Coturnix japonica: one gene and its partners. The protein of the gene in region 3 purifies or fractionates together with the protein of the main gene of each other region. This does not show direct contact. Links are inferred from orthologs where the notes say so. Each region holds a gene or a part of one and is shown on either strand. Other genes may lie near its edges.

Evidence for each region.
Region 1: the proteins of BTRC (region 3) and ZNF704 purify together in Homo sapiens (affinity purification with mass spectrometry; 3 studies listed by BioGRID and IntAct, counting the BioPlex papers as one, with this or other methods). This does not show direct contact. The link is inferred for Coturnix japonica from reciprocal best matches to the Homo sapiens genes BTRC and ZNF704.
Region 2: the proteins of BTRC (region 3) and NUAK2 purify together in Homo sapiens (co-immunoprecipitation; 3 studies listed by BioGRID and IntAct, counting the BioPlex papers as one, with this or other methods). This does not show direct contact. The link is inferred for Coturnix japonica from reciprocal best matches to the Homo sapiens genes BTRC and NUAK2.
Region 4: the proteins of BTRC (region 3) and RIPK4 purify together in Homo sapiens (affinity purification with mass spectrometry; 4 studies listed by BioGRID, with this or other methods). This does not show direct contact. The link is inferred for Coturnix japonica from reciprocal best matches to the Homo sapiens genes BTRC and RIPK4.
Region 5: the proteins of BTRC (region 3) and BHLHE40 purify together in Homo sapiens (affinity purification with mass spectrometry; 3 studies listed by BioGRID and IntAct, counting the BioPlex papers as one, with this or other methods). This does not show direct contact. The link is inferred for Coturnix japonica from reciprocal best matches to the Homo sapiens genes BTRC and BHLHE40.
Region 6: the proteins of BTRC (region 3) and EEF2K purify together in Homo sapiens (affinity purification with western blotting; 4 studies listed by BioGRID and IntAct, with this or other methods). This does not show direct contact. The link is inferred for Coturnix japonica from reciprocal best matches to the Homo sapiens genes BTRC and EEF2K.
Region 7: the proteins of BTRC (region 3) and USP37 purify together in Homo sapiens (affinity purification with western blotting; 3 studies listed by BioGRID and IntAct, counting the BioPlex papers as one, with this or other methods). This does not show direct contact. The link is inferred for Coturnix japonica from reciprocal best matches to the Homo sapiens genes BTRC and USP37.

What each region holds. Positions count from the first base shown.
Region 1 is NC_029517.1:109,697,281-109,700,780, reverse strand, and holds part of ZNF704 (zinc finger protein 704), read left to right. Parts: intron 1-106; coding exon 107-211; intron 212-2,631; coding exon 2,632-2,726; intron 2,727-3,500.
Region 2 is NC_029541.1:2,385,387-2,388,886, reverse strand, and holds part of NUAK2 (NUAK family SNF1-like kinase 2), read left to right. Parts: intron 1-167; coding exon 168-233; intron 234-899; coding exon 900-1,019; intron 1,020-1,271; coding exon 1,272-1,404; intron 1,405-1,483; coding exon 1,484-2,625; 3' UTR 2,626-3,500. UniProt on the Homo sapiens protein: Stress-activated kinase involved in tolerance to glucose starvation. Induces cell-cell detachment by increasing F-actin conversion to G-actin. Expression is induced by CD95 or TNF-alpha, via NF-kappa-B.
Region 3 is NC_029521.1:20,074,910-20,079,080, forward strand, and holds the start of BTRC (F-box/WD repeat-containing protein 1A), read right to left. Parts: upstream 2,801-4,171; 5' UTR 2,701-2,800; coding exon 2,653-2,700; intron 1-2,652. UniProt on the Homo sapiens protein: Substrate recognition component of a SCF (SKP1-CUL1-F-box protein) E3 ubiquitin-protein ligase complex which mediates the ubiquitination and subsequent proteasomal degradation of target proteins. Recognizes and binds to phosphorylated target proteins.
Region 4 is NC_029516.1:98,228,089-98,231,578, forward strand, and holds the end of RIPK4 (receptor-interacting serine/threonine-protein kinase 4), read right to left. Parts: intron 3,326-3,490; coding exon 3,073-3,325; intron 2,305-3,072; coding exon 1,127-2,304; 3' UTR 501-1,126; downstream 1-500.
Region 5 is NC_029527.1:15,937,690-15,941,732, reverse strand, and holds the start of BHLHE40 (class E basic helix-loop-helix protein 40), read right to left. Parts: upstream 2,801-4,043; 5' UTR 2,540-2,800; coding exon 2,460-2,539; intron 2,364-2,459; coding exon 2,294-2,363; intron 1,955-2,293; coding exon 1,847-1,954; intron 1,507-1,846; coding exon 1,383-1,506; intron 599-1,382; coding exon 1-598. UniProt on the Homo sapiens protein: Transcriptional repressor involved in the regulation of the circadian rhythm by negatively regulating the activity of the clock genes and clock-controlled genes.
Region 6 is NC_029529.1:8,312,019-8,315,518, reverse strand, and holds part of EEF2K (eukaryotic elongation factor 2 kinase), read right to left. Parts: intron 3,297-3,500; coding exon 3,196-3,296; intron 2,037-3,195; coding exon 1,976-2,036; intron 1,368-1,975; coding exon 1,330-1,367; intron 1-1,329. UniProt on the Homo sapiens protein: Threonine kinase that regulates protein synthesis by controlling the rate of peptide chain elongation.
Region 7 is NC_029522.1:24,228,754-24,232,253, forward strand, and holds part of USP37 (ubiquitin carboxyl-terminal hydrolase 37), read right to left. Parts: intron 3,468-3,500; coding exon 3,303-3,467; intron 2,030-3,302; coding exon 1,964-2,029; intron 806-1,963; coding exon 655-805; intron 1-654. UniProt on the Homo sapiens protein: Deubiquitinase that plays a role in different processes including cell cycle regulation, DNA replication or DNA damage response.

The DNA of each region.
Region 1 (3,500 bases), on a different chromosome or scaffold from region 3:
TCTGTAACTCTCTTGCAGATTCACAGTTTCAAGAAGTAAAAGATCCCTTGACGTGCTTTGGAAAGTGAATGGTTCTTTACTAGAATCATATTTTCTTTTCAAACAGGCCACTCCTCCGGTGAACATTCCAGGGTCGACTAAATTCACTCCCAATGGCAGCAGCTTTAGCATCTCTTGGCAGTCGCCTCCAGTTACCTTCACTGGCATTCCAGTAAGTGGATGATTAAAAAAAAAAGAAGAAAAAAAATAGTTTTTTGTGTGTTTTCACAGTATCTCATAACAGTAGTAATTTTGACATAACAAGTTAAATTATAGCCCAGTTCGCTTGCTTGACTGATTGTAGCCCTCCTGCCAGTCTCTTAAATGCAATACAGTGATTTTTGTCTTTTGGGGTTTTGTTTTGGTGACCACAAGCAGAGAACTGGACTTGACAGCATGCTTTTAAAGTACCTGCTTACAAAAGAACTTCCTGGTAGGTGCAGAGCCCGTCACTGCGTGCTTGTTTTTCTGCCACTGAGAGATCGCTTATGAGGCCAGAGAAAAAATGAACAAGGCAGTGGTTATGTTAACATGGTAATCGGATTGAAGCAGTAGGGCTGTTACCAAAGTGAACCCTGAAGATGAATTGTTGAAAAGCAACAGAAGGAATGAAGTGTGAAGTCTGACCCCAGTAGGGTACAGGGATGTATCCTCTACTGACAGCAGAAAATTGTGTGGCTTCGCACAAAAGATGTATTTAATGCGCTAAATATTTTCACTATTAGTTTTGATGTTAATACATGCTGCAGCATGACGAGTTTTTAATGAAGCATTAGATGCAAGGTCAGCTCTGGCTCTTTCTTCCAATAGATAATAGAACTGCAGAAGTTGGTTGGTTGCTGAAACGTAGATTTGCAGTAGTCCTAAATGTAAAGCAGTGCAGGTGTGGGTACTGTAGGGGGAGGTCAAAACCTTAATGAAAGCTTCAGAGGGATTAGGTGTCTGGTGCCTAGCATGGTGAGTGCTCGGGTTAAACGTAGTCACAGAATCACAGAATTATCAAGGTTGGAAAAGACCTAGAAGATCGTCTAGTCCAACCATTAGATCATCTAGTCCAGCCATTTGAAGTTTGAACTTGAAGTCGCTGCCTTCAAGTAATGGAAGATCTTCTGTGTAAGAAGGAGAAATAAATATATGTAAAATTTATTCTAATTTTTACTGGAAAGCATTTTTTGCTATAAATTAGGATTCCCTGATCATAAACTCCCTTCATATGATAGTTTCATTTAATATGATAGTATTAATATTAATACAATAGCTTCATTTAATATCGTGCTTTCTGAATTTTTACAACATGCCGCATAAATACACGTTGCTCATTCAAAGAACCATACAGCTTTTTTTCCTACTACCAGTGAATATTGGGCATGGTGATAACAGACGCTGTTTCCCTCCCTTTTCTTCACCAAGTGAATCTCCAACGCTTCTTAATGTCAACCTTTGGCAAATCTTGGAGATTTTCTCAGCCTGTGGTATCCTGCAGGTCTGATAAAAAACCAAAGTGGCTGAATCAATTACGCCGTGCTCTGCCAATGAATATGTATTAAGTTCTATCAAGGAACAACTCGCAGTGAAAGACATCACGCTGTCAGCAATTTGAACAAGAGCGCCTTGACAGAGCGTGCTTTCTGCGAAGTTCCTCGAGTATTTGATTTCACAACAATGGGGTTGATACAGAGCAATTACAAAACTGGCTCCTTCTGTGGAATAGCAGAAATCGGTGCCAGTAGTGTTGGGAATCTAAAAGTGCAATTATCCACACTGTAAATCAGACTCATAAGAGGACAGGATTAGACATGTGTGTTGAGTTTACTTGCTCAAGCAACAATGTTGAGCTCGAGCTTTAGAGCTGACACTTCTTAAGGAATTTAAGAGATGCCAAATGGCTTTCAGAGAACTGTGTGAAGATGCCAGTGATTTAGGTACAATTCAGAAATAATCCCAGTGCAAAAACCTTGGGAAGTGCTGATGGTTGCAGAGTAATAAAGCACTCTGGGAACCACATGATTTGATTTTCATGTGTCTGCTACATAGGTAGTAGTAGTGCCTCCTGTTTATTTCCATGGAAACTCCAACAGATACAAAGGGCACAATAACACTGGTTGATAGAGCACGTTCTCAGGTACAAAACACAGTTTTTCAACACAGTCACCACCATTAGCTGTACATTCTTGCCAGCCATGAACAAGAGCCTTCGTGAATCAACACGGAGGTGATCCAGTGTCAGAGTTCTTAAAAAGAATGAATGCATGCATTTGCTGCGTTCCCCCAGACCTGAAGTGATGCTGCTCTGTACTCCAGTTTACTCTGCTTGGGTGACTAGACATACAGAAAAGCAACATGGAGCTACTATTGTGTATATATTTACACCTTCAGCTTTGTCAGACCTCCAGGTTATTCGTGTTTGTATGCTAGATACTGATTTCTCCTTGGTATGTCAGCCATTGTGTATTACAAATTACTTCTTCTGGAAGCAGTTCTACCTGTTTGCACCAAACAAAGCAGTGTTGCTGCCATTGACTTAAAGGTGTGTTTCTATTGCCTTCACGTCTGCATGCAGTTCATAAATGACCTTTTTGTCTGTATTGACAGGTCTCACCAACTCACAGTCGTCCTGCCGGGAGTGGGGAGCAGAAGCAGTCCCACACAGTTCTTTCCTCACCACCCAGAGTAGCGTTTGGATTGAGGTACGGGACCATTGGCTCCTGCTGACAGACCAGCAGCTTCAGACCTTGGGGGGTGTTCTGGGGAAGAATGAGTTGTCGAGGAGTGAAGAGGGCACAAACTGAAGGAGAACTGCAGGTCTTATGCCAGGTAGATGTGAAGTTCAAATGCCCAGTTTGACTCTCGGATCATTGCACATGCTACAAATGGAACTCAGGATGTTCCCAATCTGTAGACTGTGCCCATTGTCAGTAATGAAGAAACACGTATATATGCAGGAGAATAATCACAAGGCAGATCCTGTGTGCCAGGCCGTATCTCATGCTGGTATTAAACAGTTGTGTCTGTACACGCACCTGATTTAAGGACTCTGGGTCTGGAGGCACTGCTGCACTGAGCACTGGGTCGTTCCTTGTAGCACTGCTCCTTAAGTTTGCTACGTGTTGAGTAGAAAAGTTCCGTTTTAACAGTTTAATCATTTTCTGCACTTGTCTTTTGAGCTTTAAGTATGGTGCTAGGATGGAGCACACGACAATCACAATGGCATTAAAAGCAGGTATTGCCTGCTTTGCTGGCTTCAGGGAGGAAAAGAGCACATGAACACGTTGCAGCTGAGGGCTGAAACTTGTTTTTAATTGCCTGGATGTTGTTCAGTGTGTGAGCTCAGCAAACCACACAGGAAGGATGTACAAACTTAGGAGCTGGCAGCTCTTCCCCTCTTTTGCATAGCTGCTGCATGCTTACAGTCAAGGTCTGCTGCTCTGAACTGTGCGAGGTATTTGTAGTGCAGTGCTACA
Region 2 (3,500 bases), on a different chromosome or scaffold from region 3:
CCCATCCTCGTGCAAGCACCCGGACTTATTTGCTGCTATCTCTTTGCTGTCACTGCTGTGAACGCCCATTCTGTCGCCACTGTGAACGGCAGTGACCTCCCTGTGCTGCCTTTCCCTTCCTCAAACATCCTGTGTGAGCTCAACCCACCTCTCTTCCCCTCTTACAGAATGGGATCGTTCACAGGGACTTGAAGCTGGAGAACATCCTCCTTGATGCCAATGGGAACATCAAGGTGAGGGGCTGTTGGCCTATGGCCGTACATTGGGGTTCACTCAACAAAGAGCTCAGGGATGCTGGCACATGGGGGGGGGGGCTGTGATGCCATATTCCCCCTAGGACACGTGGTCCTTATGGCCTGGAATGAGAGAGCAAGGCTGAGAGATGGGGATCATGGGGCTGCCCCTGTGATCTGCAGCTGTGAAAGGGAGAGGCTGCAGAAGGAGAACGTCAGAGTTAAAGCCATCAGTGTTTATCTCTCTGCTGATAAGAGGGCAAAGTCTGAAGCAGGCTTCAAAACAAGACACACTGGGGAAGAAGTGGTTTCTTAGTGAAAGTCTCAATTGCCATAAGCACGGGGCAGCCAGGTGCTGCTTCACCCCATGGCAGTGCCTCCCTCCTGGGTCAGAGTGGTTGGAGATAAAGGGATGGGGCTTTATCTGTGCAGTGGGTGATGGTGTCATAGGGAGCAGAAGGCACAGTCCCAAAGTGGTGGCTGTCCTGAGCATAATGAGTGCCCACATATTAGCAGAGCTGATAGGTGCTGATCAACCTCATGTAGGTAAACCAGAGGAGAGCCCTGTGCTACTGCTCTGGTCACACCTGGACACAGCTCCACAGCTTCAGGTGGTGAACCCTTCCAACCTAAGCGATTCTATGATGATTCTTTGTTTCTCTCCAGATTGCAGACTTTGGCCTGTCCAATGTTTACCAGCAGGACAAATTCCTGCAGACATACTGTGGTAGTCCCCTCTATGCGTCACCTGAAATCATCAATGGACGGCCCTACAAAGGCCCAGAGGTACGTGGTACCCTGTGAGTTGGTCTCACTGCCTCTCAGCTTGGACTTGGGGCAGCTCTGGGTGTTCTATCTATATGGGAGCCAGGATGGCAGAGACTTCTTTGGGGTAGGAGTTCCCTGAGGCAGAGCAATGTGTTAACTGGGTGTTGTGTTTGGCTGGAGGCAGCTGGGGGTGGTCTTGCCCTATGTCATGTCCTGGGGTGGTGGCCTGGTCCTGCTGCCTTCACCCCAATGTCCCCATCCTTCCTGCAGGTGGACAGCTGGTCCCTCGGTGTCCTCCTCTACATCCTGGTCCATGGCACGATGCCCTTTGACGGCCATGACTACAAGACCCTGGTCAAGCAGATCACCAATGGTGACTACCGGGAGCCCACGAAGCTGTCAGGTAGGCAGACCCCACCTCCCCATGCATTCCACCCTCCAACCTGTGCTCTCCTGATACCTGACCTTCCTGTCTCCTCCAGAAGCCTGTGGGTTGATCCGGTGGATGCTGATGGTGAACCCGGAGCGCCGTGCCACCATTGAGGACATTGCCACACACTGGTGGGTCAACTGGGGCTACCGTGTGCCCGTCGGAGAGCAGGAGCTGCTGCGGGAGAGCAATGAATCCCCATTGGCCACAGTGGCTGAGTGGTTACGGTGCTCATCCCGACCCCTCTTTGAGAATGGCTCCAAACTGAGGTGCTTCTTCAAGCAGCACATCCCTGGCGTGGCCCTGGAGCGGCAGCGCTCCCTTAAGAAGTCCAAGAAGGAGAACGATGTCTCCCATGCACTGCAGGAGGGGGCTGCAGCTCCTGAGAACCCCTCCAAGTCCATCCTCAAGCGGCCCAAGGGCATCTTGAAGAAGAGGAATTCCTGCGAGCAGAAGGTGCCCGTCCCTCCGCCAACAGCTCCTGGGGGAGAGGTGAAGAGTGAAGATGGGGATGTGACTGCTGTGGGGCTGAGCCCAGCGCTACCCTCTGCAGTGCTGGGGGGCAGTGAGGGCAGCAATGTTGTCCCTGTGGCTGTGCCCAAGAAGGGAATCCTAAAAAAGCCCCCAAAGAGGGAATCAGGGTATTACTCATCTCTGGAATGCAGTGAATCTGGAGACGTCCTGGATGCAGGGAGCTTGGACCTTGAGGGCAACGCGTTTGCTGACAGTCCCACCACTGAGCAGGGCCCCCCTGTCCTCCCCAGCAGCCGGAAGGGCATCCTCAAACACAACAGCAAATACTCCAGCAATGCTGAGCCCCACAGCTCCCCCAGGCAGAGCTTTGGATGCTTTGATGAGGTGCCCTTGCCCAAAGCCCCCCTTGCCCCCCGCCCTCGCCCACCCAGCGCTGTGAGCGAGGACAGCATCCTCTCCACTGAATCCTTTGAGCAGCTCGACCTCCCCCCACGTATCCCCCCGGGCAGCAGCAGTGGGGCCATGAGGGGCTGCGTCTCTGCTGACAGCCTCCTACGCTTGGAGGAGGAGGAGGAGGTGGATGAAGGGCGCAGGCTGCGCCGCTGGACTGTAACACACTGCCCCAGTACATTGGGGGAGAGCCGCTTCTCTTTGGAGAGCTGTGATAACGTCACCGAGGTGTATCGACGTGCCATGGCCATCAACATGAAGCTGAGCTGAGGGTAGCCTACGGTTATAGGGATGGGGTCCCTTAGCTTGGGATGGCCCCTGCTGTGGGGATAGGGGGGCACAAGTTCCCCCTTCCCCAGGGCTTCCTTGTGTCCATAGAGGGGGCTGCCCTGTGTCCCCCCCCCCCCCTATTTATTTTGCAGCCTCCCATAGGAGGTTGGATGCACACAGGGATTGGGTTGTGGGGTGGGGAGGGGGATGCTCTTAGGGCATATCTCAGAGAGGAGGGGGTGATAAAAGGACCAAAGCCCTATGCTGCCCCATTGCCCCCCCCCTCCAGCTCCTGCTAAGGGGAAGAAGTGCTCTCCATGGCACCACACTGTCCCTCCATTCAAACAGGTTCATCTCATGGGAGGGATGAAATGGGTTGGGATGGGGGGTGGTTCTTTGCACTGTTTTATTTTTGGCTGCACATGATAACGGATGGGGCAGGTAATATACCTCAAACAACTGGAGATGTAGCAAGGAATGGATGGGAGGCTGTCCTGGCTGCAGGCTGGGGTTTGCTGGTAATGGGGTGCAGCCCCATCCTTCTGCTGCTCTAAGAAACCCAACTGGAATGAAGCATCGACTGGAATGAAGCACCAACTGGAAGAGAACATGCACTGTGATGGCAATGAGCTGAGGCTGCAGGAAACCCAGAGCTGCCCCACAACACAGTCTGGAAATGGGCTCTGATGTCTATTTTTCATGGTGTAAGGAAAGTTAAAAAAGAGCCTTTTCTAAGGCACTGCTTCTTTATTTATTGCCTCGTGTCCGAGTTAATGTAAAACTTCATCAGCACTGGATTTGCCGAGCTCAATATCAACCCTCCCCCCCCCCTTCTTGTGGGTGTTTGTGGCTGTGCTGCAGCCCCATTGCACTGT
Region 3 (4,171 bases):
GAACGTGTGATAGAAAACAGCCCTTCGCCAGCAGATACAGCCCTCCCTGTGAGCAGCTGCCCAGTATTGCATAGTGCTTATCCACCACAGCTGAATATCAGGAATAAATTAGGCCTTCTTGAAACAGAGAGGTAAACTGAGTATGTGAATGAAGTTAAATACATTACTTAAAGCTGAAAGTATCAGAAGACGTGTATGGTGGCTGAACACACACTGGTAGCAGATATTACCTGAATGCAGCACTGTTTTATCAGTGAGTAATGGAGACACTAGTGGCCAGGGAGAATAATGAGATTTTAGGCTCATTGAAAAGTTACACACACACACCAGCATCCAGAACCTTGTCTGGATTTACCTTGAAGGTAATGAATATAGACACATTAAAAAATAAATAGCCCCTTTTAAGGCAAGATAATGTCATTTATAAGGTTAGCACTGGACAAAGATTCCATGTGACGTTTTTCTCTGAGTGTCAGACATGAAATCAGCAGGTCTGACTTGCCTGATACCTTGTGACTCAGGAGCACTGCGCAAAGTCACTGCCAAAAATGAGGCACTCGCATGAAGTGGAAAATGTATTATTTTCTAGAGGAGCCCCAAAATAACACCACCTACAGGGCTGCTCTTCAACACAAAATGAAACCCAGCACAAATTCACATCAGAAACAGCACCACCAAAAAAGCTGGAGAGATAATAGATCACACACCTACAGATGTTTGAATATTCATCTGTGGTGAGATACATCAGCTCTGGGGAGGTCTCAGGGAAAAGTCTCTAATTAACAGCAAAGCCCACCTCAACCCAAAGCAGAGCTCTTCAGGGAAGGGAGCAGCACACAAAGTGCATCACACACTCGATGAACAGGGTAATATGCTGTGAATGATTCAGCATTAGCTGAGGATCCACTACCTCCATGCAGTAGGTAGCACTGCCACTGCTGCAGTACCTAAGCACTTCCTGAGTGCTGTCAGACTGAAATAACAGGAGACTTCCCAGCAGCATTGAGCTGCCAATTACAACAGGACCTCATTTATTGGAACAACCTACCTGCATACACCTCCACCGACAGCAAATGGAGAACAGGGAAAGCCCACACCAAGTCTGACAAAAACTCTTCATCAACATAATTAAAATGAGAGATGTACTACACAGATTAATGTCGAAGCAAAAGCCTGAGATGTGGTATAAATATATAAATATAAACAAAAGCTTTTATCACTCTCAACCCATACAAATACACGTACACCTCAAAAGTTCAAGGGGATCAGAGGGAAGCTCCCTCTTTCACTGCAATTTTGCATGTACTTTGCTTTCAAGAGGCACTTTAATAAAACATTAAGGAACTTGGTTTAGCTTTTAGCTCTCAGCAAAGCCTGATCCTCAATAATTCTTCCCTTTATCTGGAGCCCTTACCAGATGCAGCTCTCCTAAGAGCAGCTCTCTCTCATGCTCAGGTCTCTCCTCAGCATCAGGGAGTTTTATTGTTCGGGTGGCACACTGCCAGCTGTGAGATGGGCAGGGATTCCCTCAGGTCCCAGGCCCAACCTTATGGAAGATCTCAAATGCCAGGAACTAAGCTATTCACTGGGAACTGAAGCACAGAATGACAAATGCAACACATGAGATGTCAGGGCAGCACACAGGAACACTTGAAGATATGGAAGCCACAATGTAGGTTAAGGCTGCCATCACCCAGCTTGGCCCAACATGAGCACAGCAGGCTCAGGGACACTCCTCTGGCCAACTGCACACCCAAGAAGGTGGTTCATTATTACTAATTGCTACCTTTCCTTTTAAGGTACCCATAGCATTTTCTCACTTCACTGAGCAGAGACCCTATAAATCTGCCAGACTACAGGGCTAGCAGCAAAAAGGTCACCAAACCACAAGAGAAACAAGTTCTACGGGATTAAAAAAGCAGAATTCAAACAAATGTTGCAAAGCTCAATTAAAAAGAAAACATTTGCAAGCAGCACTTCCTCGATTTCACTTGGGCATAAGTTTAATAGAATCGCTTCCTTCTGATGAGCTCAGATTCAGGTCTGTAGGACTGTAAGGCCAACACTAAGTCAACTTTCACCAGGTGCTGCCAAGTACTTCGATGGCTTCCATAGGGAAAGGCCAGTTTTGGGCACACAAAACTGACATTGCATTCAGATGGTACCGGAGTGTACCATATCAACAACTGAAGTCAAAAAAGAATTAAGTTCAAGTGTGTAAAGCCTCACATGTAGGTAAAGGTGCAGAGCATCTGGGCTGCAATCACCCCCAGAGCTGCCTGCCATGCCAAAGAGCGGCCCAGCAGCCCAGGCCGCGCATCCACCATCACTGCAACGCAGCAGAAGGTGAGAGCGGAGTGTCAGCGCGCACAGCTCCGAGCACAGGGCGGAAAGGAACACGGCACACAGCTGCCGGGGGCCGGGGCTCAGCACAGCACAGCCTCAAGTACACGAACGAAGGCAATAACACGACAACCCCACGCGTTCCATCCCCCCCCGCAGCCCCCCGCCCCGCTCGGCTCCCCCTCCCGTCCCCCAACAGCACTTGAACCCCCCGCGGCCCAGGACACCCCGCCCCGCCCCCGCCCCGCCGTGCTCCCCCCGGCCCAGCCCCGCACACAGGTGCCCCCTCGGCTCCCCGCGGCCTCTCACCATGAACTTGATCGCCTTCTCCTGCAGCACGGCCTCGGCAGGGTCCATATCCTCCCGCGGGGCCGCCCCTCCTCGCAGTGCCAGGCCGCAGCCAGCGCCGACACCAACCTGCGCTGCCCCGCGCTCACACCCCCCCCCCACCCCACGCCTCACCCCCGCTACCAACAAAGCGCATGCGCTGCCCGCGGGCCCACGGGAAATGGAGTCCCTCGCCGCGCCGCCGGAGAGGGCCTGAGGGGTGGGAGAGAACTACAAATCCCGGAGGGCTGTGCGGCCACGGGTATGCCGGGAGCAGGGTGACGCACGCGGCGTCAGTGGGCGAGAGGGCTGATGGGAGTTGTAGTACGGAGGAGGTTGTGGCGGTGTAACAGGAGGGCAGGGGCGGAATAGAGGCCGCTGTGTGCGGGGGGGATGGGCCCCTTTCATAAGGACATATGGGCTGTGATACCCGATGGATGTAACAGGCCCGGGCATCACCCAGAATGTGCTGGAAACCAGTGCTGCAAACCCTGCCCACCATTATGTAAATAACAGTAATGATAATGAGAGAGCCCTATAATCGCAAAGGGACACCGCTGTCCTCTGGGCTGATTTGTGAATGTGGTCTTTAAGGTGAGTTCTCAGGATCATACAAAGCACAGGCTCATAGTGGAGCCATAACTGCAATGGCTGATTAAGGACTGGAGTCATCCTTGTGTTAACTAGACTGAACGCCTTGGACAAGAAGAGACCAGCTCAGCTCTCCTCAGCAGAACATTATGGACCCACAATACAGAGCAGAGGGACAGGAGAGGTCTGTACGCACCCCAGGACACCAGCACCCACACCCCAGGACAACCCACAGAGCACCAAGAAATAACGTGGGTTTACAAGAAGTTAAATAACAATTTATTTGGATCACAAGAACCTAGAGCTGTACACATAGTCAGTTCTGCCTCACCCACTGGCAGCTCCTCTCAATCTCTCTTAAAACACCAACCATACATCCCCTCCCTGCACTCCACATCCTTCCTGCAGAGCACGAAGCCAGCCACACACCGCACAGGGAGCTCCCGGTCCTTCCAGATGAAGGATGCTACCTAACGGTAAAGATATTACTGTGATTATTTTTGCACTAGCATATTGCTCTGTGCATTTCGGGCTCTGTGGACCACATCCACGCCTGGTGTAACGCCATGTTAATTTGCTGTGGCAATCATTAATTGGGTAAGGAACAGCTGGTGCTTTGCTTTAAGTGAAGCTGATTGGGTCAGTAAGTAACTGTTTGGGTAAAGGATGTACAGCAGGTAGAGCTTTGCCTCTGTCTGTGCTCCAGAGGGGTTTCACTTCTTGTCCCAGTGACCCTTGGAGGAAGCGATAAGATTTGGCCATGAAACATTAGGGAACTTTAATCAGTGCAGCTCCTCTGGGCATTTTTGCCTGAATTTTAATATTTTGAATAATAAAGGATGATTTTAAATTAAATTTGTGGGCTCACCATCTGTGTGTGCTTGGCCTTGTTTTCCTCTGCTTTGGCAGT
Region 4 (3,490 bases), on a different chromosome or scaffold from region 3:
GCTTTGCATGAAGATGGGAAAAGAAAACCAACATGACAAAATACAGGGCAGATATGGAACACAATATTTTTATTAATAATGTGCCACATTCGGACCTTGACAAGAGTGAAATTAAAAGGTGTATTAAAACATACCCACTCTACACAATCTATTTTCTTCAGTAGAAAAAAAGCATACAACAGATAGAAATACTATATACACAGTATATCAATCTAGGCAACACACAGTTCATTCTCCCAGGACATGTACTGTGGCATGGCTGGTATGGCTCTCTAACATGTCCCTACAAACATCACTTTGCAAATAGATTTAATGGTGTTAGAATATACCATCCAGTTACAGTCCAGAATGATTTTATTGTTGTTGTTTGGCTTTTTAAGGGAAACCACTAAGAACACAGTTCAGCTCACTGATCTTAAAATGCATAGAAGATGGTACTGCATATGAAGACATCAGTGTTAAGCTTTTACTTCTGCTCATGTAGCTTTTGGATCCTTGTTAATGACAGTCTGCCTTATTCATCTTGATTACATGGAAAACTGTAATCAGTGTATCTCCATTAAACAGAATACCTTCTGAAAACGAAACTTAGCCAGGGTTTGTGATTAACAGTATCTTGAATAGCTCTTTCTTCATCTCTTGCATTCACTTCCAGCAGATCTGTGTTAGGTTTATTTTACTTTGGAGGCTTCAAGCCCAAAATATAGATCACTGCAATAAACCAGGGACCTAATCCATCCTTTTTCTGAGGAAAATCAGAATATTAGTCCTTAAATTAGTTTGTCAAAAAAAAAGCAAGGGGAACCCACAAGTTGCACCCTACTCTCACAACGTCTGTGTGGGAAGGGAATATCACTATACAGGTGGGGCAGGCACGCGCAGAGTGGATGATCCAGACCACAGTGTGGTGGGCTTCAGCTCTTAACCTTGCTTTTGGCTTTAGTCCATGTGCTCCCTCTCTCACACACTCAAACATGAGTAGCTCCTTGCTGGTTGCCCCTCAGTCCATCTGCTGACGCTGCTGGTGAGCAGGTCACTGCACGGCTGGACAAGGCTCTTGTAAATCAAGTTCCAGCAACCTTCTCACCACACCAGGCAGAAAGATAGCAAGTACCGTACCTTTTGATTAAGTCTTACTTAACAACACAGTAACTGAGCTATTGCTGCCCTGCTGAGTAAGCCGGAGCAGGGTCTGAAATGTGGGTCTCTGCAGATCAGTGAGTGCCCCATGCTTTAGAAGAACCTCAACTGTTTTTGTGTGCCCTCCTCTTGCAGCCAGATGAAGAGCTGTCAACCCCTCGTCGTCAAAAATATTGATGTTTCCTGAACTGACAAGTTCTTCTACTACTTCAGAGTGCCCATTTTCTGCAGCAAGATGCAACGCTGTCCTATTTAATGGGCCTCTGGCAAGAACATTGGCCCCTTCATCCATCAGCAACTTCGTTGTTGCTAAATGGCCGCTGCGAGATGCCAAGTGCAGAGCAGTACATCCTTCCGCTGTTGCTGCCTCAATGTCTGCACCATGTTTAAGAAGCAGCCTGGATGTGCTTGTGTGGCCAGTTTCAGCAGCTATGTGGAGAGCAGTCTGCGAGAGTGCATTCGGTACGTTGACATCTGACTCCAGGTCTATGAGAAGGCGAGCGACACGGTAGTGACCTCGCTGAGCAGCCAAGTGTAGCGAGGTCCTTCCATCCACGGTCTGCACATTTACATTTGCACCTGGCTGTTTGGCCAGAAGCTTCACGATGGGAAGATGACCTTGCCAGGCAGCATAGTGCAAAGGGACCCAGTCATCCTTTCCTTTGATGTTCACGTTAACGCCTCTTCTCAGCAGAATCCGCACAATATTCTCTTGGCCATACTGACAGGCTATGTGGATGGGGGCCCTGCCTTCAAAATCTACCTCGTTCAAGGATGCATTCTTATCAAGCAGCATTTTGGTGCTGAAATCATCCCCATTTTGGGCAGCAAAGTGAAGAGCAGTCCACTGATCCTCATCTTTGGCATTAACATTGATTTTCCTTGCCATGAGCAGCTCCACGATGCTTTTAATTTTCTTCTCAATGGCTATGTGAAGAGGGGTGGATCCTTTCTTGTTGGTGAGGTTTGGGTTAGCATTGTAAAGGAGAAGCCATTTGACACATTCTTCTTGACCAGCTTCAACAGCTAAGTGCAAAAGACTGCAGTTCCCATCTAAAACAATGTCAACGTCTTGAGGCTGGAGGATCTTCATCAGCTTGCTCGTGTCACCAGCTAAAATGGCTTCTGTTAGCTTCCTTTTCTGTATGTCCGTAGTACCTACATCTAGACGGAAAAAAACAACATCACAATGCTGATTCTTGCCAACCCTTACTCATCCCTGGCTAGCACAGCTGGTGGCTTCAGTAGTGTCTTCTGACTGCAAAAAAAAAAGCCTCCCTCTCCCACTGCTGTACCTGCAGGAGTTTCAGAGCCAGTTTACATCACATTTGGAACCCACACTTCCTCTTATTCTGTCTCCAGTGAAACTAAGAACAAACGAAGCTGCAAGTTTGTTTCCCTACAGTTATCATGCTTTGCCTACATGGAAAAGAGGTGCCTATTTTATGCAGTACATATTGAAAAGGGAGGGGATCTCCAGGGGGGTCTTTATTACAATGTTCCTGGGGCTGCTGAGAAAACTGCTGAAATCTTCTCAAAAGACAGGTGCTCACATTTGGGCTCAGTATTAACTGCAAAAGCTACAAGCTCCTGTACTGGCACTGGCTTTAGTCCCACTCTGACCAGGGCACTAGACAAGATGATCTCCTTTCTAATCAACATTTCCACAACCAATTCTGTAATTGTTTTGATGGGAATTCAGGTACCTTCTTTTCAAAAGCAAATTAAATGTATTATTACTCACTATATTGTGCTTGGGAATCTCTTTATTTTATTTTTTAATAGCTGCCACCAGCAAACAAATTTGCAGTTAGGACAACAGGACATACTACTCTTCACACAGTCACTCTCCAACCCATAAGCTCCCATGCACCAGTCCAAACAATCACAGAAACAGAAAAATCAACAATAAAAAAACATCCTGACCATTACCTGAACTCTCTCTTTCAAAGGAAAGGGAAAGGGAGCCTCTGGATGAAAAAGCTGAATCTACAGACGAAACTCCTGAAAGCCGCTTGTCACTGGCAGCAAGTTTGGATTCAGAAGAGCTGCGGCTGAGATCCTCAGGGCCCTCCATAGTCTGTGAAATCCCTGAATCCAGCTGGGACAACAATTCTGATAGACTGTAATCCTTAACTGATGCCAGAACAGGCTCCTTTTTCGGCTGAGATAATGCAGACATCCCCTTCAAGAGAAACACACAGAAGTATTTTAGAAAGGTCAGTAAGGAAAACTGAGTATGACCCTCTACAAGAAGCAGCCTAATTCTATTAGCTTGCAGGCAGCTTTAAGCACTGTACTTATCCAACAAAATCTGTCTGAAGAACCTGGTTGTTTGTTTATTTGATTG
Region 5 (4,043 bases), on a different chromosome or scaffold from region 3:
ATGGGCAGGTAGGCAGTGGCGGATGGTGGGATCAGGTAGAAGGGCAGGCACAAGGGGGGCTGGTGGGCGTGGGGGGGCAGGAAGCCGCCCGCAGTGCCCATCACCTCGTTGCCAAAGGGGCTGTCGTCATCAGGCACCTCCAGCCTGCTCCTCTTGGCCGGAGGGTCCTCGCTCTCTTGCTTGATGGAGCTGATCCTCTCCTGGACGGCGTATTTCAGTTCGGTATCCTTTGGGAAATAGGGCTGCTCCGGTTTGGAGTCGTTTTTCTCCAGCTCCCCCCCATAGCCGCTGTCCGTGTCTGTGTCGCTGCCGCTCTGCTCCCCGCTGGAGGCAGCGAATGTCCTTTGGATGACGGGCACACAGTTCTGCCCGCGCCCCTCGCCCGCTTTGCCCCCCGGCACCGTCTTCTCCTTCAGGTCCTTGGGGCTGCCCGGCAGCAGCTCGGCCGCCACGCGGTGCAGGTGCCCCACCAGCTGCGCTGCCTTCAGCTCCTTGTTGTCGTGCTTGGCCACGTACTGCAGCAGCTCCTTGGCGCACAGCTGGAAGCCAGAGCGGAACATCTCCTGGCTGGAGTCGAGGTTCCTCGCGGACAGGTCACCTGAGGAAACATTAACAGGGAGAAATTAAAAATTAACAGCACGCCAAATACTTCCATCACCACCTCCAGGCTGACAGCACGCGTCCGGTACAACACAGCCAGCACAGCAAACTCAGTGGCCAACCTGAGTTCCCACAACTTATGCGCCAGAATCCAACCTGCTACTTTCACATCCCTCCATTCACTTCTACCCGTGCCCTTCATCTTTCAATTCTGCATTTGGCACTTCCACTGGGGAACAAGCAGACAGTGCATCCCACACCCAGCAGGACCCCTCAATGCCACGCTGTGCCCCCACTGCCAATGGGTCTCCCCTGGTGCTGTCCCTGCAGGGCAGTGGCACCTCGTTGGCCAAGCTCAGTTTGACTTTATCAGAGCCATGTGAATGCCACGTGTGCAAGCAGCAGGAGGAAGCAGAGGGAGCGAGCAGCCACTGTGCTGAGCCCCGTCCACCTGCAGAATGAGGGAACACAGATCTGCACACGGACAGCGGGTGTTTGTGTGCTCTGGGGGAAAAGGAAAGCGCAGAACCAGGATCCAAAGCTCATGAATGGAGAGAGCTGAACGACTTTGGAGAGGGCATCACAGCAAAGCTGCGCTTTAAATAAAACTACTTCAAATCCACTTTAAAATGAAAGCGACCGCACAGCACGCCTGGCTCCGACCCCATGGAGAGCTGCACTTGCTCTGCACAAGCAAAGCGAGAGAAACTGATGGCAATCAAAGGGCAGAGGCTCAGGCATCCCTTCCCCGCGCAGTGTCCCCGCACGCTGCACTCACGCACCTGCCTGCAGCCCGCTCTGCAGCGCCAGGATCTTCTGCTGCTGCTGCTCCGTCAGCGCCGTCAGCGCCTTCAGGTGCTTCAGGGTCAGCTCCAGCACCACCGCCTTCTCCAGGTGACCGAGGGTCTGCGGGCAGAGCACACAACGCGTTGGACGCTGCGGGGGTGGGGGTGGAAATAGGCGCTGGGAGACATTCCCACGGCAAAGGTGGGGGCGATTTGGGGCAGGGACTCGGGGGCAGCGCTGCTAATTGGGGAAGGCACAAGTCGTGCTTCCTGTGAACAGAAATATCCGGAATTTGGACGGAACACACAGAGAGCAGCCGCGGGGCAGCCCCCGGCCCCACATCCCGGGGGTATTTGGGGACGCCCAACCCCGAGCACAGCTCCGTGCCTCGGCGCTGCTGCCCCCGCCGGCATCGCGCGCTCAACGCAGGGCCGGGCCCGGAGCCCCGTTGTGCCCGTACCGTCAGCTTGAGGTGCTCGGGCAGCAGGTCCTTGAGCTGGGCGATGCACTCGTTGATCCTGTCGCGGCGCTTCTTCTCTATCAGCCTGTGGGGCAGCTTGTAGGTATCCTGTAAGGAGCGGCGGGTCAGCGCTCCGCACCCACCCTCCGTCTTTTTGCCTTCTTTCCTTTTTTTCCCCCTTCCCAAATAATCGCTAAACCCACCACGCATTCCACCCTCTGTTCTTTTTTCCTTTTCCTTTTGCTTTCCCCCCCCCTCCCCACCCAAATACTCACGCACCCCCTCCGCCCCCCACCCCGCAGCATTTCTTTTTTATTTCCCCCAGAATTACCCAGTGGAGGCCCCTTCCCCCCTTCCCGCATCACCCCACAGAAGCTCAGCTCTCTTTCTCACTCCCCCCCATCCCAACGATCGCTGACCCCCGCCCCGCACCGCCCACCCCGTTACCTTGCTGTCCTCGCTCCTCTTTAACCCCCTCCTGGGCTTGTACACTTGGTACATGTGCGCGAAGTCCAGCCTGCACGGGCGAAACGAAAGCAGCGAGGTTACCCCTGTCCCCGGGGCCGCGGCGGGGGGACGCTCTCGTGTCGTCCTGTCCCCCCCGCAGCCTTACCCCGGCACATCGGCGCTCTCCAGGGCGGGCAGTTTGCCCAGGCACACGGGCGGGGGCTGCGCGCTGGGGATGCGCTCCATGGGGGCGCGGAGCGGAGCGGTGCCGCGGGAGCCGGGAGGAGCGGAGCGGTGCGGTGCGGTGCGGAGCTCAGCGCGGGCAGCTCATGCCGCGTCCCCGCCTCGCCGGCTGAGGAGCGGAGGGAGGCGGAGGGCCGGGTTAAATGCGGCCGAGTGGGTGGACGGCGGCGACGTGCGTTACCCTGTGACTCCCGGCACGTCTGGCCGGGCTCCCCCCCCCGCTCCCTCCCTCCCTCCATCGCCGTCACATGAGGCTCACGTGTCGGCGAGCGGCGGCCTTCCTCCCCCCGCCCGCTCCGCCGTGCAACGTGCCGGGGGGGGGTGGAGGCGGGGCGGCCGGTCCGTGGCCCCGGGTGGCCCCGACCCCGGTTGCTTCCCGGCCGCCCCTCGGGCTCTGCCCCGCCGTCCCGCAGCGGAGCGGGGCAGGAGCTCGGCACCCGACTCCCGTTCTTCAACACTCCCGCGGCGCGTCGGTAATCCCCGCTGCCGGAGCCCTTTGGCTGCTCCCTTCTCTCCGAGCCGTCCCGAGGCTCGGGGTTTACTCATGACCTTAAGGGATGTTGCCAAGGATTTTGGAGTCCCCCTAAAAAGAGGATCCGAGTGGAGCGATGGCATTCCTGGGCGGCAAGTGGGATGGCGGAGAGTTGGGTTACATTGTCCTCCCTATGATCAGCTTTCATAAGCTGGGGCTGATGCAATCAGCAATTTGTCTCCGAGATTTTGTTTGCTGAATTATTTCTGCGCAGAAATGCATACATACAGGGCGTACAGAATGCAGCAAAGAGGCCAAATTTCCTGCAGTCACGGGTCTGAGGTGCTGTCCCAGGAGAGGAGCAGACAGTGCCCAGCAGTGATCTGCACTTATCTACAGACCCCCCAGAAGCCAAGGGCTCGCAGTTCGGGCTCAAGTTGTACTGAGGGCTCGGAGATGGTGATTTGGGGCAAAACACTGTGAAATCCCAACAGCAGCATCGGATAGAGCCCGTGTGGGCAGCTCGGAGTTAGCAGCTGGGCTGCGGCTTCAGCCTCACGATAAGGTTACTGCGGGTGGTTTTGTTTTAAAATGTCCCTTACTTAATATATCCACGAAGGCCAGGCATGTGCCTGTGGCCTGGAATCAGATAGCTGACTCCTCTGCTCTCTCATTTCCAGCAATCTCGTTTTGGGTTACCAGCACCGGAGGTTAAAGGACGGCCGCAGGCGAAGGTTATGCAGGGCAGCAGCGCTTCGGCTCGGCACCCAGCGGGCACCCGATGGGCATCCCCAGAGCCCTCCTACTGAACACACCCCCACCCTCCCAGCAGCCTGCAGGTGGTGACCAAAGCTCGGACTGAGCCTTGAAAACACACTGCCCAGAGCTGTGGTGCCCCATCCCTGGAGGTGCCCAAGACCATGGGTGGGCCCTGGGCAGCTTGAGCTGGGGGGCAGCCAGCCTGTGGCAGGGGTGGGGGCTGGGTGACCTGTATGGTTCCATCCAACCCAACCATTGCATTAATCTGTGATGGTG
Region 6 (3,500 bases), on a different chromosome or scaffold from region 3:
GCTGTCACTGTAATGAAGAAAGACTTGTATAAATCTACAGAACTCCAGATGGGAATTATCAGTGCATCACAGAGATTTATAGAAGATTTAGGACCAGGGAGATGGCACATAAATTACATTTTCTTTGTACAATAGGTTAAGCTGCAAAGATAAATCTGTTTCTGTCACTACTCAAGATATCCCCTAATGTGAAACTTGGTCATGCAGAAATACAAACTAAAAGCAGTGTCAGCAGATTAAGATTTGTTACTTCCTAGGCTTCTTTACTGCTCTTATCTACGTGTCTCTGCAAGCACAGAGCCACCAGCATGAATCCATTCCAAAACAATGAAAAACTGAATGACTGAGAGGTTACTCTGCCCCTTTTTTCCTCAAGTTGTTTTTGAAACTCAGGAGCTTCTCTTCCTAGAAATGAAACCAGACATGAAATGCAGCCTCTTTAGATTCTGCAGCTGGAACGAAGAGACAAAACCTAAAAGTGCACACGTATGTTTTCCAGGAAAGTCATAACCAGAAACTGAAAGAACAGGGCACTCTTCTGGCACGGACTCATTTACACCTAGATGCTGATGCCCACACACATATTTCCTAATATTCAGAAGGCAACAAAATAGTTCCTCTTGCCTTCCCTCACACTTCACTGTTCTGGAATGAATAACTGCTAACGTTCAAGCTCTGTCTTACTCAGGACAAGATGTCTGGTACACATGATCCAAAGGAAACTCCGTGAGGACAGACTTCTTTACCTAGGAAGGCATTCTGAGTTGACACTGCATGAGCTCAACTATTCTTCCCCTTTTTTCTGTGCCCAAATAAGGGCCTGAAGATGGCCTTCAGACTGCGCACACAGCCACACTGAATTTAAAGATACTATGGCACATTTAGAACCCAATAAAAATGAAACAAAGCTGCAGCTTCTGTATTTTTATGAGTATTTCACCTCCAAGAGATGGTTAAAATAGCACGAATTTACAAATTTCTAATTGCTAGAATGATTAGACTTGCTAGAGCCAGGCACAACTGCACGTTATCCATGCTGCTGTGGTTCCAGTAGAGGCTATGGGTTGGCTTTCTAAAGCAAGCTCACTGGATACCTACATTGCACTTCCTTGCATTTTCCCTAAGAGAATGATCTGCATTCTGAATCCCACTCCCTGTGCTGTGGTTGGAGTTGCATAAACAGAAGTAAACCCCTTAGTAATGCCTTTTAGAAATACAAAGCAGGGATCCAATGGGGAGCTGCACTTTACATAGATGTCACATCTGTGAGAAACTCCAGTCACCACAGAGGAAAATACTGCAATAAAGATAAAGCCAACAAACACTTACGTTCTGAAACATTCTCGCATTGCTCCACGGCCAAAGGGCTGGGAAAAGAAATAAACAAACCCATCACTGTCATTTTCACAAAGTTAATTTCTAACCAGTAAGAGACACAACAGTGCCTCCCCCCTTATACTCTGGAGTACTTCTCAAATAGGGTCCATAGCATTTCTATACCCTCAAGGAAAACTGGAAACCCACCAGCCACTAAAGACAATAATTTGGGGAAAAGAAGCACAGAGAGCAAGGTGATTCCAGCTCATCCCTAATCACAGGATTTAACTGCCAAGTTTCAGTAGCTTCTATCCCCACATAGTGAAAATAAGTAGGCCTACTGCCAGGCAGAGATAAGGCCAGCAGGAAATGGGAGCGCTGAGATGGGACAGAGATCTCTTCCCATCTGAGATGGGAAAAGAATCAAATGGCTCTTACAGTGCTGGTGGGGAAGGCCTGACTCCACATTCTACTCTTCTGGGGGAAGAAAAGTGTGCTAGGATCCCAAAACATAATGGGTGAGCCAGAACAGAAAAGAAAGGAGAAAAGAAGAATCAAAGCTTTTATGTGAGAAAAAAATCCTGCTGCCACTAGTCAATAATAACAAGGAAATGATAAATTTGAGGGCTAATAAACACAAAGGGCAGCATGGTCTTACTTGTGAAGCCATCTTGATGAGAACTTCATCTTCAACCCAGTCTCCAGTAACTGCATTGTACCTGCAAACCCAGAAGTTGTGCTTCTTAAAAATAATGCAGAACAAACCAAAATCCTCCCACCTTCACTACCTGTACTTCCTCATCTCTAATTAATTGCTTGAAAGTCCTGCTGCCACTCAGTACAACTTCCAGTCTTCCCACCGTGCTCCTGCCCTCCTTACATGGTTAGTCTTCCAGATGAGAAAGAAAAAAATTATCCCTCTTCAAATGGACGCTGCATACTATGGACAGTAAACAGACTCTGCTACCAAAGCATGAGTTTTGTAATGATGCAAAATAGGCCTCATCTACTTTGGTAGTAAATCTCCTCTGCGATGGCAGCTCACTGGGGGCACAAAGAGCTCTACCAACCTCTACAGGCTATGGCTGTGACAAGCAGAGGGGCACAACGCTGCATCACGAGGGGAGCAAGTCTCTGCATAACCCCACAGTAATACGAACCATGACTCCAGTTTCTCCTCACCCCCATAACTCCCAATACAGTAAAACCCAATGCAGTCTGTGGGGAAGGAGAGTGCAGAGTGACAGTGTCATGTGATAGGAATGAGGCCTCCCCAAACACTGATGCTCAGGGGTCATTAACTGGTCTCTAACTCCTACCCATTCCTCCTAGAAACCTGTGTCAGTAGGGTAAATGTTTTGGCAAGGCCTAAAGCACTGAGAATAGCTCACAGGCCAGACTGGGTTTCAGCACGTACACCATGCTGAGCTATTCTGGGCTTTGTAAGGATGTAAATTCCACAGCAATACTGCATGGGTAAGCAACAATGAAACTGTTATTTTGGGAAAGGCACAGAGTATCATTTTTTTCCTAAGCTATTTAAATACTTGCAACATAAATATAAAACACTGCAAAAAATCTGCTTGTTTATTGGAATTTATTTCCTTATTAGATTAAGTTTTCATAATTAATAAGGTAATCAGAAAATTCTTGTTTCCTATCCGCATAGTGAAACTGCTCAGGTGGTAGAGGGAGAAGAACAAGACAGTGTCTTGCTGAAAGGTTTCATTTTCTGACTGCATGCAGTATTTATGTACCTCTGGGAGGTTTGGTTAAGACGTTCACTTTGAACACACACTCTACACCACATTTCACAGGCCCTGCATAAGACATCAGATTCTGTTTCATTTCAGCATTAAGAGCAAAAAAACCCCAGACCTGTAGCGAGTGGCGTGTTCTGTCTCGATGTCCTCAAGATGAAATTCTGCCCAAGGATCAGGCATGTGCTTTGCTTTTTCAATAGCATGTTTCCAGGTTTCCTGAAGGAGTTGCAAACCAGTGAATTATTTACAGTCAGCAGCAGCCCATGAAAAGGGTATTTTCTAGGGCACACTAGGATCTCAATGTTACAAGGAGGTACAGCTGCACAACTTCCCACAGCACTGGTGACAGCAGGAGCAGGACATGGCAGACTTCCTCCATCATTTTATTTCCCTTTCTCTGTATTTGGTACAGAAGATTAC
Region 7 (3,500 bases), on a different chromosome or scaffold from region 3:
TTAGTGCCTTCAGCCTGCTTTATACTGAACCACCCCTCCTATTTTTAGGCAGTTTCTCAGATCATTCTAACTGTACTTCTGAGCTTCGGCACACTTGTAGTCCTTCCCAGCTCTGTCTTCTGGAAATTCAATACTCATTATTTTATCATTTATTATATATATCACACGGATCAGGATCCTCTCGTTAGATGAGAAACTGCAGGTATCCACCTCTTTGCATGTTTTTATTCAGCCACAAGAACTTCTCTCAACTGACTATTTTGTCTTGCCCAATGCATACTAGCTCTAATTTAATCAAGGGCTTCGCTGCGTAATTTTATTATTGACACTCCATTACAATTCTGTATGGAAAAGTCATTAGTGAAAGCTGCCCAAAGGACCAGCAAAACTGCCAAGCAGCTGGTATACACACCCCCACAAGTGCAGTTACAACACAATTACCTCTGTTCCCAGTGGGAACCCAAGACAATTGTAGAGAGGTCAATTAGCTGGCATGGCAAAACACACCCTTTTAGCATCACTGCACTAATTAGGAATGAAAACATCTTACATCAATTTCATTATGCTAAGGAAAACACAGGCAAGCCACAAGTACTTACAGCTCCTTTGCATACTGAAGTTTGTACTTTTTTTCTCCCCCCCCCCCCCCCTTACCTTTTCTGGCTCTTCTTGAGGCTGTTGCTGATCTCTAAACTGTATGTTGCACACCCTTTGGGTATTGGCAACAGAGCGTTTCAGGGGCTCATCGTCACTGTCTGAATCCACATAGAGAGCTGCAGAGCTCTTTGATTTTAAAGTATACTTCCTGTAAATTAAAAAGCACAGCTATAGAACTTCAAAGCACTGCACAAATCCGTTTCATAGTAATCAATGAATAACTGCTACAGCAGATTTTCAGGCTGTGGGGAGATACAATTTAGGGAACAAGCTGCAAGTGTTGAAAATAGAAATTTACCAACATGCAGGCAATAAATAAACACTTCATAGCTTGTTTACCCCACAGCCTACCAAGGGTTGCTTTTCTCTTTCACAAGACACCTGTTACACGATGTAGCACAATCGCTACAGAATTACACAAGCCAAGAGCCAGCACTTCATCACACAGCAGTCCTGGACAGCATTCATTTGAGACAAGGCCACAATAACAGGTAGAACTCAGCAGAAACCATTTACTTGACTCCTGAAGTTTACAAAGCTGGACGCAAGACTTGTCACATCAATACTAGGATATACTCACATTAATACTAGGATAGAAAGTTGCAAGTCTGCATAATTTTTTGTTTTCCAAAACAAAAAAAGCTCCTTCACTGGAATAAATCCTTGTTTCTTTAGAGCAGAAGATGAGAGACTTTGAGTCTGAGATACGTCCTCAATTAGGAAATTTGTTCTACATGCATTCCACAATGTGAAACTCACCAGTGCAATTTCACATTTCCCACTATGTCAAAAACTGGCCTCTCAGGCCATAATCACATCCTCCCACCTTTACAAACAAGCTCAAGGAGCCAACCACCTGTTTCCTAACCTCATTGCAGCTCCATAAATAAAAACAGGGAAAAAAGGAGTCAGACTGAAGAATTAGAAAACAAGTTGTTTCTTATATGTGTGGTTTGTGACAATGAATGCAAGGCGGTTTAAAATACTTGGCACTGACCCATTATCTGCACAAACAAAACGCAGCTCTCATCAAACCTTCTCCATGAAAAAATTCTTCTTTGCTTTCTTTTGAGTTCCCAAAGGTTCTCAAGAGAAACGCTAACAGGACTGTGTCAATTAGGCAGATGGTAGCATTAACATTTCTTTCAGCTAACACTTAACACCAATAAAGCTCAGATATCAAAAAACAGCACCGAAAACAACTTACACAACAGACAGCACAGACAAAGAACTATGCAATTCCAAAGTGTCTCAAAAGCCATGCCATGAAATGCCAGGCCAAGAGCATTTCAAAACTTTCACTCACCTACAAGGTGTAGAAGTGCTTACAGTACAGGAATTCACCATTTGGGAGGCTTTCAGGGGACGGGAGCTATTACAAAAGCAAAGTATTTATCGCAGCAGTTAGTCTTTAAAACAATATATGTTTACATGTCTGCTGTGCATGCAAATCCATGTTCAAAGCAGCAAGTAGAATACCATTACGTGCTTGCTAATTGCTTGTTTTTAGAGTAAGAACTCCACGATAGCATAAATATACACCAGCAGTTCAAAACCAGATGTAATCCTTTAAATTTGCACTTCTTAGCGATGCACCCTTAGGGACAAGCTCTCAAATCAAAGGCGTTGGACTCCCACGCCAAGGGAACTCTTTCCTCTTTCCCTGGTTCCCAGCAACACTTGAGTTCCTGCTCCCAAACCACAGTCTCTTGCTGCTGCCTGGATTAGCTGGTTTTCTGGCACATCCCACATCTCCATTTCTCCTCTAGATCTTCTAAGCAAATCTCCTGCTCCATTTGATCCTTTTATGGACTCCCTGAAGTCCATTGCTACCACTACACCCATCGAACACATGGTTACCAACACAGGAACCATTTCCATCATTCTCTTCAAAGCAAGGCAATTTCTCCCCAGCTTTGTCACCTTTTCACTGTTTGGGTTAATCAAAATGGTTTCAACAATTACCAAACGGGCAACCATTGAAAAGCCATTTAAAATATGTTTTAAAGCATGCCTGCATTGGTTAGCTTAAACTTTTCATTATGTTTAGGAGGTGAAGATTTCTAGTCTTAATGCAAAACCTTAAGAAGCCTCGAGGTAAATCTCAAACTCCACTAAGTATCCAGCAAAAGACCACGTGCTGTATTGCTGAACAGATACCAGATGTATTCTATCTCACTACATTTACAGCATGTCAGAAGGCAACGCAAGGCAAGAGACCTAAGGGATTTCTGTTTCTTATTCTGACACATTTGTGTGACTTCTGCTACTTTTAATCTCTGTGTCTCAGGACAAGCAGCTGTACCAAAATAACTGCCCTAGGGAAGAGTATTTTCAACACATGAAGTGCTCAGATACTGTAGTAGCACAGTAAAGACAATGAAAAATGAATGACATTGTGAAGTGTGCAAGTGGAAATTAACAGAAAAAGGAATGATGTCACGCTTTCTCAGCAGAATTAAGCATGCTGCAAACAAAAAGAAACCTAGATGTTGTACCAAGAGGCTAGATTAAATATCTTGCACCTGAGGCTGCATAATTTTGATGGTTCTTTATGCAGACGTCAGATGGAGTAGATCTGACAACTGACAACCTCACTGTGGGTGCATAACACAGCATGGGCAGAACCTAGGCTGTACACTTACATTGCAGAATGGGCACTCCAGCCCAGCGTCAGTGGCAGCCTGGTGCTTTCTGTACAGTGTGAAAGCAGGGTTAAGTATCTTGGAATAACCACCTGCTGCCCAACTTTATGATTGAGAGACAACTCTACATTGAAGCTGTATCGTTTCAGATGAAGAATCAGAACCCTGAAAAATATGAGAGAAATACAAAATCGCAAC